Ovis aries: one gene and its partner. The protein of the gene in region 1 interacts with the protein of each later gene in a pairwise test. Links are inferred from orthologs where the notes say so. Each region holds a gene or a part of one and is shown on either strand. Other genes may lie near its edges.

Region 1 (6,940 bases):
TCGGCCATAAGCGTGCTGTTCTGCAAGCGGAAGTCCTCCTCCTGGCTATGCAGCTTTGCCTGAAGCATCTCATTTTCACTCAGCAGCCCCTCGACTTCCTGCAGTGGCAGATGTAAGCCGGGTCTCCAACAAGGGTAGAAAGGATGGAGCAATAGGGCAAAGAAACAGAAATGGAGAAAATGACATTGTGCGGAGAACACAGGGTACAGAGAATGGGATGGGTGAAATCAGGAGATACAAGGGGAAATAGAGATAAAGGAGGAATAAAAGAGGAGATAGGGCGGGAGAAAAAGACAAGGGAGAGAATGAGAGGAAAAGAGGGGTATATAGAAATTGGAGAGAAAGAAAACAGAGAGATGGGGAAAGGAGGTTAGAGAGGAAGGACAGAGGGATGGGGAGGGGGAGAGAGAGAAAAAGAAAAAGTAGGACGATGGAGAGATAGGAACAAAGAGGTCAACAGAAGGAGGATGGAACAGAGAGAGGGGGTCAGGAAAAGAAATGAACCAGGAAAAGAGAGAGGAACAGGGGAGTAAGGAAAAAGGAGTCAAGAGAGACAAAGAAAGGGAAAGAAGAAATGAAACAATGGCAGAGATAACGGGTGGAAGAAAGACAAAGAGAAGGTTGGGGAGAGAAACAAGAGTCCAAGAAGAACAGGAAGACAGAGACTGAGAGAGGCTCAGAGAGGAGGATAAAGAAAAAGGGAGAAAGACACACAGAGAGAGACAAAACAGGAACACAAAAGACAGACACAAAAACACATGGCTGGGAGGCAGTCACAGATGCAAGTGCACACACAGAGAAAGAAAGGCCAGTGCAAGGAGATCCCAGCATACCGAAACATCCCCTCTAAGGCAGTCTACCAGACACATTTACCCGCCAGGGGTCCCCTTACCTGAGCTTTCTTGCTCTTGCTCAGTGCCTAAAGGTGAGGGGGATGGGAAGAGAGATAAGGTGAACAGAGATGGACTCCTTCACTAGGGTATGGAGAAATTGTGGCAAATGTCAAGGGGGCACAATGATAACAGGGGTTGAGGGACGGGGGTGTCTATAACCACAGAACCACAGAGCAACAATTTATAGCCTAAAGGAATGGAGTGAGTGAGTGAGTAAGGAGCACCCTGCTTACACCCTTTCCTCTAAGCTCTTGAGCTTTTCACGGGTCATAGTATTTAACCCTTCACAGGCTGGATCTCTGGGCTCAGAAATTATGGCTTCATTGCTACATCTGTCCAAACATATCTATGTGGATCCCTCCAAAGAACCATGGAAACTGCTGTTCCTCTGCTGGGCAGCTGAGGACACTGCCAATTTGGGAAATCAGCACCCTATCAAAGACAGAGAAGCCCAGCTTTCTGACTGCCAGACTTTCTGCATTCTGTATTCCTTCATCTAGCAAATGTTTATGGAGCACATACTATGTACAACATTGTGCAATGCTTGGAGACAGAGCAGTGAAGAAAGAGACAAAGGAGGGCCTTGAATGCCTTAAGGGGCCATGACAGGTTATATGCTATCTCACCTTCAAAGGATCTGAGAGGTAGGTTTAGTCTTACTTTACCAACAGGACTAGGACGGGGTGGGGAATAGGAGCACAAGGCAGGAATATGAGTGGAGGACAGAAGGCAGAGTCAAGATGACTTACTGATAGATTTGATTATTTTGAGTAAGTAGTTGAAATTAAAAATGAATTAAGAGTAAACTAAAATTAATCAATAAATTAAACAAAATTAGATAAAATTACCAAACAAAGGAGAATTCCATGAGAAATTTCTGAATGACTAATGACAACATGTAACATTAGGTTACATGCTGGTTCACTGCAGGTGCTCACTGGACAAATGAATGAGTCAGATGGCTACAGGGAAACTTGGGTGAGTGAGTAGGTGGAGGGAGGTACCTTCTGAGCTTTGTTGAACTCCTTATCCAGGTAGGCAACCTTCTGTCGAAGACTGGTGAGTTCTGGTGTGGGGAAAGCAGGGAGTCTCAGCTTCAGTCAGTGGTAAGGAGCTGAAAGGTCTTTCTGCCAGGCCTCTGTCCCCCAGAGCCACCCCCATCTAATGAGACCCTCTTGGCTTACCAACACCATTCTTGCGTAGTTCATCTGAAAGCTGGTAGTTGTTTGTCCGGAGTTCTAGTAGCTGAGCCTGAGAGGGAAGCATGGAAGGAAATGACTTGGCAGGAATGTGCCCCCTACCTTTATGAGGAGTGAACCAACCCTCTGAGCCCCAGAGACCCTGTTGCCCTTCTTGTGCCTTTTTAGTCACTCTTAAGACCTGTGCCTGCTGCATCCCAAATGAGTCCAGCCACTCAGCCCCTGTCCCACCTTCTCCAGTTCTACTTATGACCACAGCCAGCCTCGCCCATCTCCCTGCTGCCTCCACCTCTCCCCTTTCAGTCCAACTATGACCCCAGGCGATGCCACAGTGCTGACCCAGTCCATCTCTTGTTCCTGTGTGTTCCATGGCTCTCCGTGCCCTCAGGATGAAGTTGGCCTCCTCACCCTGGCTGGCCTCATCACACACTAAACACTTTTCAGTCTTCTATCAGAGGTGTTGTCTATCCTCTTGGCCTGAGTAGGGGGCAGGGCACTGCCTTCTTCCCTCTTTCCCAAGGGAAGAGGATTTGGTATAATGACCAATTTCACTGAGTAAAAACGGGCTCCCTGGGGTTCCCACAAGCAAGGCTCTCAAAATGTCCAGATCCCTTTCAAGAATCGAGGACAAGTGAAGTATGGGCCATTCCAAACAGCATATCCCTACCTACCAGCCCTGCAGGGCACTGAGGCCAGTTCTTCCCAGAACGACCATCCCTTACAGCACCAGGACCTTTCCCTCTCTCCCATGGCACTAGACTCCATCCCTGGATGGTCTGCTAAAGGGGAGAGGGCTTGGCCCCTATACAACTTTCCTGCCCCTGTCCACTCCTGGACCCTCTCCTCCTGATCCAATGAGAACACCCCTGGCACCCAATTAAGAGTCTCTATCCATCAGAGTCCAATGGTTTTCCCTTCACTCATGACTAATGGAATCAATCTTCCTCACTCAAGGGTCTCCTACACCCCACAAGATCTTCCCAGTCATGATCCAATGAGATGAACCTATACCCTTCAGGGTTTTTCCCCCCACAAGGCCTTGGATGGGTTAGGTGGATTACCCTTACTCACATGGGATAACCCTTATGCACAAGTTACAAGGGCCTTCCCCTTTTATGGTACAATTATCTCGCCCTTCCACCCTCAGGGTCCTTCACACAGTGACAACTGGTTTCCTTCATTCAAGGACGAATGGATTATCTGTCTTCACTTGGAGTTCCTCCTGTCCTCCCACAGACCCTACACAGGGTTTCCCCCCCTTGAGTCTACCCACACACAAAATCCAATGGTCTTCCCCAGTAAGGAACTATCTCAACAAGGGCCCCCTTTGGCCTTTCATCCCATCTCTGAGCCCCACCAAAAGAATCAAGTGGTCAGAATACTCAGGGTACCTTCCCAGAGCCCGGTGATCTCCTCTCCACGTGGTCCAAGGGTATCACTCTTTCACCTCCTCTGGTTCTCTCTCCAACAAGGATTAATGGTATTACCCATTCAGGGCCTTCATCACCCCAGCCCTAATGGGATCACCCCTAATCATCCAATGGTACCACCCCTTGCACAGAAGCTCCACCTCCCAGGAACAATGACAACATGTGGGGTCTTTCCCCAGTGCCCTGGCATAGTGGTATCTCCCACAAAAATGTCTACCTCCCACCAGTAATGGTATTGCCCTCTCCAGGGCTCCCCCCACCATGACGCAAACAACCAAACGCCCGCTTCCTTCCTCTCCAGGCAAAATGGTTTCGCCTTCTCAGGATCTCCTTCCCCCAAAGCTCAGCAATATAATCGCCCACCTAGGGTGTCTCCCACACGAGCCCAAAGGTCTCGTCCCCTCCAAGTCTCAGTAAGGTATCACCCACGCTAGATCTCTCTTCCACCCACAAGGCTAACAGAATCCAACTGCTGAGAGCCCAACAGTTTCTCGGAATCCAGTAGTCTCACCACTCGGAGCCTCAGTTTCCCTTCTCCAGACCCCTTAGACTCAAGGTCCATCCCAACCAACCCCTGCTCAAAGCTGGTGGCACAATTTCTCTCTTCCCCGCACCCCCGTCGCCTAGCCTGCTTTTCCCCGCCAAGCGGTACCTGCATCCGCTGAAACTCCTCTTCTGACAGAGCTTGCGCCATGTTCCTCCCCCCCCACCCCCCCAACAGCTTTCTGCGCCGACGCGGTTTGTCTCTCCTGTCAGTAGAATTGGGTCGGACCAAACCACCGGGCAGGAATAGAGGGGGAGGAGTCTACTCCGGAAGTTCAGCGTTTTGGAAACCGAGACAAGAGAAAAAAAAAAAACTGGCCGGTTAAGTGAATTGCAGTTTAGTATTTTACCAGAATCCAGGTCATTAGATCTGGTTTTTGAGCTATCATTAGACTACTCATTGTGATGCGACACTGTGACATTCCTGTGTCATGGGACTCGTCGCTAGGGAAGTGTTTGCCGACCGAAAATCGCGCTTCCGCGGTACTCCTTTAAGGAAAATGGTCGGCTTTACAGTGGAAATGAAAGCGGAAGCTTTGCGCGTGTCTTGTTCCGGCCCTCCTCCGGGTGACCCCAAAAAGGGAATCCCGTTTCTTGTGAAGCCCTTGGCGTGTTTTGTTTTGTTTTGTTTTAAGATTTGACGCTGATTTTTTTTTTTTTAACATGATACTGTTAGGTAAAGGGCCCAGCCACCAATAAATTTAAAATACCTGTGAGGAAAGAATGGCAGTGAATCAAACGAGAAAGCTTCACTTAAAAAACAAAACTAGGATAGCAAAACATCAGGAACATTTAAATAAGTGTTAAAATGCATTATAAACGTCTCTTGTGCTTACCGGCCACTGCTGCAAACCCTGCCACCCAAGCAGTAGTTTTTATTTGGGAAAGAAAAAAATTAGCATGTTTAGCAGCAACATATCTGGTACTAGGATATGCCCTATTTTCTCTATCTTTTTTGTCTTTTTAGTGGGAAGAGGAGAAAAACGATTTTATGCCATTTTAAACTTACAGAAAAGCAAGAATGCTATAAGGGAATGTGCTTAGTCACTCAGTTGTGTCCGACCTTTTTTGACCCCATGGACTGTAGCCCGCCAGGCTCCTCTGTCCATGGGGATTCTCCAGGCAAGAATGCTGGAGTGGATTGCCATGCCCTCCTCCAGGGGATCTTCCCAATCCAGGGACTCAACACAGGTCTCCCGCATTGCAGGCGGGTCCTTTACTGTCTGAGCTACCAGGGAAGCCCATAAGGAAATTACCTGTACCCTTCTGCCAGCTTCATCAGTTGTTCACATTTTGCCACCTTTCCTTTATCATCCTGTTTTTAGATATAAAATTTTTGAACTATTGACTTCAGCATCCATCAATGATTTCCTAACACCAACATTCCTTTGATATTTGTTAGTTATTAATCTACTGTAAGAAAGAGCTTTCTCTTCTTCCCCATTTATGTGTTTAGATCTGTACAGACTCATTATTTTATTCCATAGATTATAATCAATCAGTATCATTATTTCCTTTGATGCTCAAATTGTCCCAGATTTAGCCAATGGAAGCTCCTTCAGGTTGACTTTTGTGTCCCTTTGACATGGCCCCATCATTTTTTTTTTAAAGCATTTCCTTGCTTTCTGGCATTACAAGATGCACCAGACTCAACATTATTCCTTTTTAGCCCCAGTTGAGAAAGTGTTCATTGCTACTAGAGTGTAATTTTTTCTATGCCGTCTCAGTGTACAGAGCCAAAAAATACATGTATATGGACTAATTCATGTATACACACATATCTATTATATCTAGTTACGTGTTTTACTATAGGTATATATATTTTTTATTTTTATTTTTTTGGTCATGCTGTGTGGCATGTTGGATCTTAGTTCCCTGACCAGGAATAGAACCTGCACCCTCTGCAGTGGAAGCAAGGAGTCTTAACCACTGGACCATGGGGTAAGTACCTTTTATTTTTTAGGTATATGTACTTTAAAAACATAAGTACACTACTAATAACTTCCATTTCAACACAACACACAAGATTCATTTTAGTTTCCTCACTTTTCATATTCTTCTCCAACAGAAAGAAACCTATCTCCCACTGTCCACAATAAATGTACTTATTTGTGTAATCATAATGCACATTAACTCCAGAATTGCTTACCCATAAACTATGAAAAACAAATCTATCAACTAGAGGTCAATACTTTTTTACAGCTTCTTTTGTCTTTAGATTCCTGTTGGTTTCTAGTCAAAATATTGTGTTTAACAAGACTACCATAGCTTCAGTACAATGCAGTTCCTTTTGTTTTTAATCTGATGGTAGTCAAAATACTGTGTCCAAAATTTGCTTGGCTTGGACTTCCCTGGTGGTCTATTGGTTTAAACTCTGAGATGCCAATGCAGGTGGTGAGGTTTGATCCCTGGTCAGGGAACTAAGATCCCACATGCCAGTGGCCAAAAAGATTTTTTAAAAATTTGCTTGGGTTAGTGCTCACTCTCCCTGATGCCCCTCCCCCATGAGGCTGCATGATTCATTTGAAATATGGTTAGATTCCTTTGTTTGTGTTTGAATTCCATTTTGCCCTTCCCTCCACCTCCCTGTTGAGGTAACCAACCTATTTAATTTCTAGTTTATCCTTTCTCTTTCTTTTCACACAAATGAGCACGTGTGAAGAGGAGCAGAAATGCCACCTCCAAATATGCCACTTTGATTTGCATCGCTCTAATAATTAGCGATACTGAGCATCTTTTCACGTAGCTGTTGGCCATCTGTGTCTTCTTTAGAGAAATGTCTACAAAATGTGGTACTTTGGTGTGTGACTTATTTTAAGCTGTAAAGAATCAAGACCAGCACACTGAAGAAAAATTTCTACCTCTCCTTTAACCG
Region 2 (5,851 bases), on another chromosome or scaffold:
GGTGAGAAAGAGAAGAGACAACATAGAGAATCATCCAGAGTCAGTCCAGGAAGGCCAAGGCCTGACCAGTGATGCCTTCCTGAAGGCAGAGGAGGAGAGGAGACAATGGAAGCAACAGTTGAGGATTTTCCCCTAAAGGAAATGAGTCTATAAAATTCCACATTACACCAAACACAGATGAGGCCAGGGTCTGCCATGGGAAATCTCAGAACGCCAGGGGTGGGCTGGAGATGCCAGAGATTCTAAGAGGGAAAAGCAGGCACATCTCAAGGAGCACTACGACCATTGCACTGGGCTTTTCAGCAGCAGCAGTTAAAAGCTGGAAGATAATTACAACCGTGACTTCAAAACTCAACATGAAAATTTTTTTCCAACCTAAAATTGTACACTCAGCCATACTCTCCATTAAGTATGAGAGTGAAATCAGAGTGTCTCCAGTGATGCAACACGGAGTGGGCTGTAGAGCAGAGGGAGGAGGCAGGGGGTCGAGGCAGAGGGGGAGGGCAGCTGGCACTGGGTCATCTGTCCGTGGAGCTGCGTGGTCCAGATGGGCTGTGTCATGGAGGAGGAGGAGGAAGAGGCACTGGTGGAGCAGCTACTGAGAAGTCTGGGTGCAAAAGAATCCCCTTTGGAACAGTAGCAGGAGCCTCCTGCTGCCTGCACCATGCTTGTTCAAGACAGGAGGTGCCGAGCACATTTTATTCTGCCCCTGGGAAAATCTAATGAACAGGGAAAGTCATGATTCAGGGAAGTGTTTACTGAAGGAAAACTCTGGAGGTTGTGAGAATGGACGTGTTGTACCTGGGTGGGCGCTCAGTTCAGACTGGTGTGCCCCCAGGAGGGAGGGAGCATGAGCTGCACCTCCGGGCCTGGGGCAGGGCGTGTGATAGCCCGTGCCCTGGAAGGCGACCCCACGCAAGCAGAGGAGCCACCGAGGGCCTCATGCACTGTAGCCCTGCTGCCGCCTTCCTGTCTTTCCCCTACATGTTCTCAAAGGTCCCTCAGTTCTGCGGGGCCCCCCCACTCCATGAGGGGCACACTCGTCCCCAGCCTCATGGCCCCACCTCCTTATCACTACTGTGATCCTGTTTTGGACAGAACAGCCCTTCGTGTCTGCTTTCAAATGTCTTTGTATCATTTCTCTTTAGAGAGGTATCTGGCACTGTATTGCAGTTGTCAAGGCCAAAAACGGGTGTTTTGCATGGGAGGCTGCTGCTCGTGAGCAAGGGCTCTGCTCCCTTGAAAGTAAAAGCCTGTAACTCTTCCAGGTCTGTGACAAGAAGCTACTACAGAGGCGCAGCGGGGGCACTGCTTGTCTACGACATCACCAGGTAATAACACCCCTACTCAGCCCATGCTCCCTGGGGCCCGCTCCTCCCCACAGGCCGCTGGTGTGGCAGCGGACAGCAGAGGTGGGACTCAGCAAGACCCTCCGCCCTTTCCCTGAGGGTCTTGCAGGTTTTCAGAGCAGCCCCTTTCACCTCTTCACCATGTGAAACCTGTTCCCAAGTTTCAGATAGATAAAGCATCTCCTGTGTCGTCATGTTTCCTTAAGATTCACAGCTTGAAGTTTTGCACGTGGTAAATTGTTAGTAATTGTCCTCCATCAAGCACGGGCTCTATGCTGCAGTGGCCTGGGTTCAAATCCTGGTTCCTGTCCCAAAGCAGTGTGAGCCCTCTGGACTTTAGTTTCCTTGTCTGTTCCACTGAGTCATGGTGACCACATAATACTCGTGAGGCTGTTGGGTGGTTAAATTGGTTCCTATAAAGCTCTTGGCCCATCTTAAGGATCTGAGTGCACTGTCCTGCATGTAGCTGTCACCTTGGTGTCACAGTTAAATTCAATGAAAAATTCAGTTCCTTGGTCGGTCCTTAGAATATACGAGGATTTTGCCCTTAGATAGATAAGAGCTGAACACAGTCCTGGAGGCAGACAGACCTGGTCAAGTCCTGGCTCCATGTGTGTGACTTTGGGCAACTTAAACCAGTCTCTCTGGGCCTTAGGTTTCTCGTGTAAATGGGAGATGATAAGAGTGTGTCGCAGAGAATCAATGTGATAAATTCCTGTGAAACAAAGGACCGTCATGTTGCACGGATTCGTCGAGTGACAGCAGTTAGCCTTAGGTTTTGCTCGCGTGTTGTGTAAACCAAGACCCGAGTAAATAACCGCACCCTGCTTGGGGAAACAGCCGGTGGCAAGCTGTCTGACTCGCTGTGGCATCTCCCTGGAAACAAGGTGGAACACACCCTTGGCATGTGGTGTGCTCTTGGGGCGCCCAGGTCCTCTGAGTGCTTTGAAGGTCGTGGGCACTGCCCTGCGTGTATAGAGGTGGTGTGAGTGACTGGAAAGAGTTGCTAGCTTTATAAAATACATGTACTGTTCTCACAATCTTATATTACGCAGCCGAGAAACCTACAATGCGCTTACTAATTGGTTAACAGATGCCCGAATGCTCGCGAGCCAGAACATTGTCATCATCCTCTGCGGGAACAAGAAGGACTTGGACACCGATCGGGAAGTCACTTTCCTGGAGGCCTCCCGATTTGCTCAGGAAAATGGCAAGTGGCCTTTCACCTGTCACAGCTACTGGAGGTCTAAGATGAAGCTGTATTTACGGAGTGTGGAACCTCCTATTGTTGCCATTAGACATTTGGACATCTAGCATATTTTCACCCTGTTGCATTGTGCCTGCAGAGGCTGCTGTGATGATAGAAGCTGATCTCTTTGCACTCTGTGATGGTGTTCCAGTTTGGCATCTTTAATATCACAGCTCTTGGTTTGAAGTGAGAATTATAACAATTTTTAAAGGCCCTAATCAGATGATGTTATCATTTTTAAAATGTAATTTGAAGCTAAGTTGGTGAAATATTAGATCTAAATAGAAAGTGAAGCAGTAGATGAGATACTGGACTTACTGGCTTTATTTTGCTTACATTAAATTTAAGTCATTTGGCTAAAGATTTAGCCTTTGAAACTTGCTGAATTTTTATGTAGAATACATAAGGATGACACATAAAATGAACGATTCCCTATAGACAGCAAAATGACGAGAATTCAGACATTTTAAAATAACTTTAATTTTTAGAACCAGTCAGGAAATAAAATACGCTAATAGCAACTTTCAATGGGACTCTAGAACTGCCAACTTACACTCCCACAAACAGGTTTTCTGCTAAGAAAATAAGCATGCAATAAAAACATAAGCCATTATGAGTTTATAAAGAAGCTGTTTAGAAATATGTAAGCTTAGAATGTTAATGCCCAGAAGGAATTTCTCTATCATTTACATGCACCTCATTTTGACTAATAAGGAAACAAGTGTCTGGAGAGGTTGTGGTTTGCTCACAAAAGCAAGGAGAGAGGCCTTCGCCTGGGTGAGTGACCACCCAGTGGAGAGCAGAGGGCTCGTTCGTATAAGACCTCCCACTGTCAGGGACCACACGCCACGTGGCCCCCGGCGCCGGCACTTGCAGGCTGTGTCTGGCGACCTGAAGCCTGTGGGAAGAAGTTGCTGCTGAGCCCTATGCCAGCAGCTGGGCGCCTCGGCCAGACTGCTTTCCGCCAGCGTCCTGCTCGCTTAGTTTCTTCTTCGGCACATGTGAGTGCTAGCACACACTGCCAGTTACTTTTCAGAAAAAGTTGGAATTGTTTTAAGACTTAAAAAATATGTATGTATGGACATTTATTGATTTTCTATTTGCAGAAATACCTGGTTATAAGGACAGAATTCTATTTTGTCTGCTATTCTAAGAGAATAATACATTAAGCAGGTGGTTATGAGTTGAATAATTGTGATTATCTTCTAAATATGGCTTCATGTTTTGTTTGATGTTGATTTTAGAGCTGATGTTTCTGGAAACAAGCGCACTCACAGGGGAGAATGTAGAAGAGGCCTTTGTACAGTGTGCAAGAAAAATCCTTAACAAAATTGAATCAGGTAAGAACTTCCCATTAATAAACTTTCCTTTAGCACATTTTCCTCTCTAGCTCAGTAGCGTCACTTTTCAGTATTTCCAGGAGTGATTTGGTCATGGAGTTTCCTCTCTCTACCTGCCGACCTGCAGTGACCTCTTAGGGGTTTGGAGGTCTTGTCTACACTGCAGGTGGAAGCCCAGGCCTCCTTCACAGGGACTTTTTCAGCTGTGTGGTGGCAGAGAAGCAACTGTGTGAGGGGAAATGAGTTATGGGCACCTCGCTTAATGCTGCTGGTTACAGATCGGGCATCATGGAGAATTTGTTTCTGAAGCTAACTGAGCATGTCACAGTAGTGACCTGTCTCATTATTGTTCTACTTGTTGCTTCAGTAAAAATAAATTTAAAACAACTCTACTATAGGCAGCTGACAAAATAACATATAGTTGTCATTTATTAGAGTTAATTTTTATTCAAATATCACCAAAATCACATGTGGCATTACATTTTTAATTGATTCATTTAACTGAATGCCTATTCTTTGTCAAGTGCGGGGATACAAAAATAAATTAATCCCAGCCCTCGCCCTCAAGAAACTGTCTTTCATGGGAAACAGTCAAAAGATAATTATAACACAGTGTGGTCAATACAGTAACTGAGAAGTGCGCCAGATCTTGGGGCCACACAAAGGAGAGCCTGCTTGTTTAGGAGGTGATATCAGGAAGAGCTTCTAGGAAGAGACGGTGACTGAGCTCAGGCTTTCAAAGTGTGAGGAGGAACCAGGCGTGGGGGTGGGGAGGAGGGTAGGCCATCAGAGGGGCAGCATGAGTGGAGACTGGGGGGAAGGTTGCAGTCACTAGAAGAGAAAGACCGCAGTGGGGAATGGCGGGAGAGAAGGCTGAGGAGAGGCAGCAGCCAGGCCAGTGGTCTTCACCCAGGCTCGAACTTCGCTCCCTGGGTGACTGAGTCCCCACCTTGGCTGGACGCAAGAGTCGCCTGGGATATGCACAAATTTGAATTCTAGGCCCCACCTCTGGAGATGCTGAGTTAAGGCCTCAGCATCATCATTTTAAAAAGCTGTCCCGTGTGATTCTCATGTTCGTCCAAGATAGAGGACCACTGCTGTAGGGCTGAGAAGCCATTCGAGGGTGGGGGGCAGAGAGTGATATGGTCAGGTTGTGGCTGGAGACACGTCGTGTGTGTAGGCGGTCACATCAGAGACGGACCAAAGGGAGCCCAGGACTGATGGCCAGGATACCAACCGAGGCATGTTTGAGTAATTCAAGAAAAGATGCCTGATTAAAGCTGTAACAAGGATGAGGAGCAGAGATGAAGAGACATAGATGACTCTAAGAAACATGTTGGCAGTGGCATCCTGACTCAGATGCCAAATAGCAGGGCAGGGCCTTTCGGCTTGGTGGGGTATTGGAAGAGCAGGGATCAAGAGAGGAGGAGCCACAGGTAACTCCATGTCACAGCTGCGTAGCTCAGTGATGAGATGGCAGAACCAGAGGAGAAGCCAGTTCACGGGAAGCAGGGTGGCTGTGTTTTGAAATGTTCCCTGGGTGGCATCACTGGAACAGGCACAGGGCACCATCCAGGAACCTGTGGGAAGAACCCAGCTGGTGGTGCTCCCTTGGGAGCCGTCGGTCTATAGGAGCAGGTGCCCCAGGGGAAGGAATGTGACCCCCCAGAGAGCAGTGAAGAGTGGGAAGAGCAGTGGCCCAGAGCAAAGCCTTGCAGACCGAAGGAGGAGAGGAGGCGGGGAAGGCCGGAGATTCAGGAAGACACCCAGGAACACGAGTGTAACTTCTGCCACATCCAGCCAAAAGGCTGTTCATTATCAAATGAATCTACTTTTCATCTAGAGCTGGAAAGTATCCGGTGGGGTGGGCAAGAGGAAGTCACTAGTCATCTTTACCAGCAGAATGATGCAGG

The links. The genes of interacting proteins can lie anywhere in the genome.
Region 2: the proteins of GRIPAP1 (region 1) and RAB4A interact in binary tests that used the Homo sapiens proteins (3 or more experiments, as listed by UniProt). The link is inferred for Ovis aries from reciprocal best matches to the Homo sapiens genes GRIPAP1 and RAB4A.

Annotation. Positions count from the first base shown.
Region 1 is NC_056080.1:56,090,666-56,097,605, reverse strand, and holds the start of GRIPAP1 (GRIP1-associated protein 1), read right to left. Parts: upstream 4,225-6,940; 5' UTR 4,217-4,224; coding exon 4,175-4,216; intron 3,607-4,174; coding exon 3,484-3,606; intron 2,145-3,483; coding exon 2,078-2,144; intron 1,960-2,077; coding exon 1,898-1,959; intron 920-1,897; coding exon 893-919; intron 99-892; coding exon 1-98. UniProt on the Homo sapiens protein: Regulates the endosomal recycling back to the neuronal plasma membrane, possibly by connecting early and late recycling endosomal domains and promoting segregation of recycling endosomes from early endosomal membranes.
Region 2 is NC_056078.1:807,501-813,351, forward strand, and holds part of RAB4A (ras-related protein Rab-4A), read left to right. Parts: intron 1-1,268; coding exon 1,269-1,331; intron 1,332-2,404; coding exon 2,405-2,559; intron 2,560-3,842; coding exon 3,843-3,938; intron 3,939-5,851. UniProt on the Homo sapiens protein: The small GTPases Rab are key regulators of intracellular membrane trafficking, from the formation of transport vesicles to their fusion with membranes.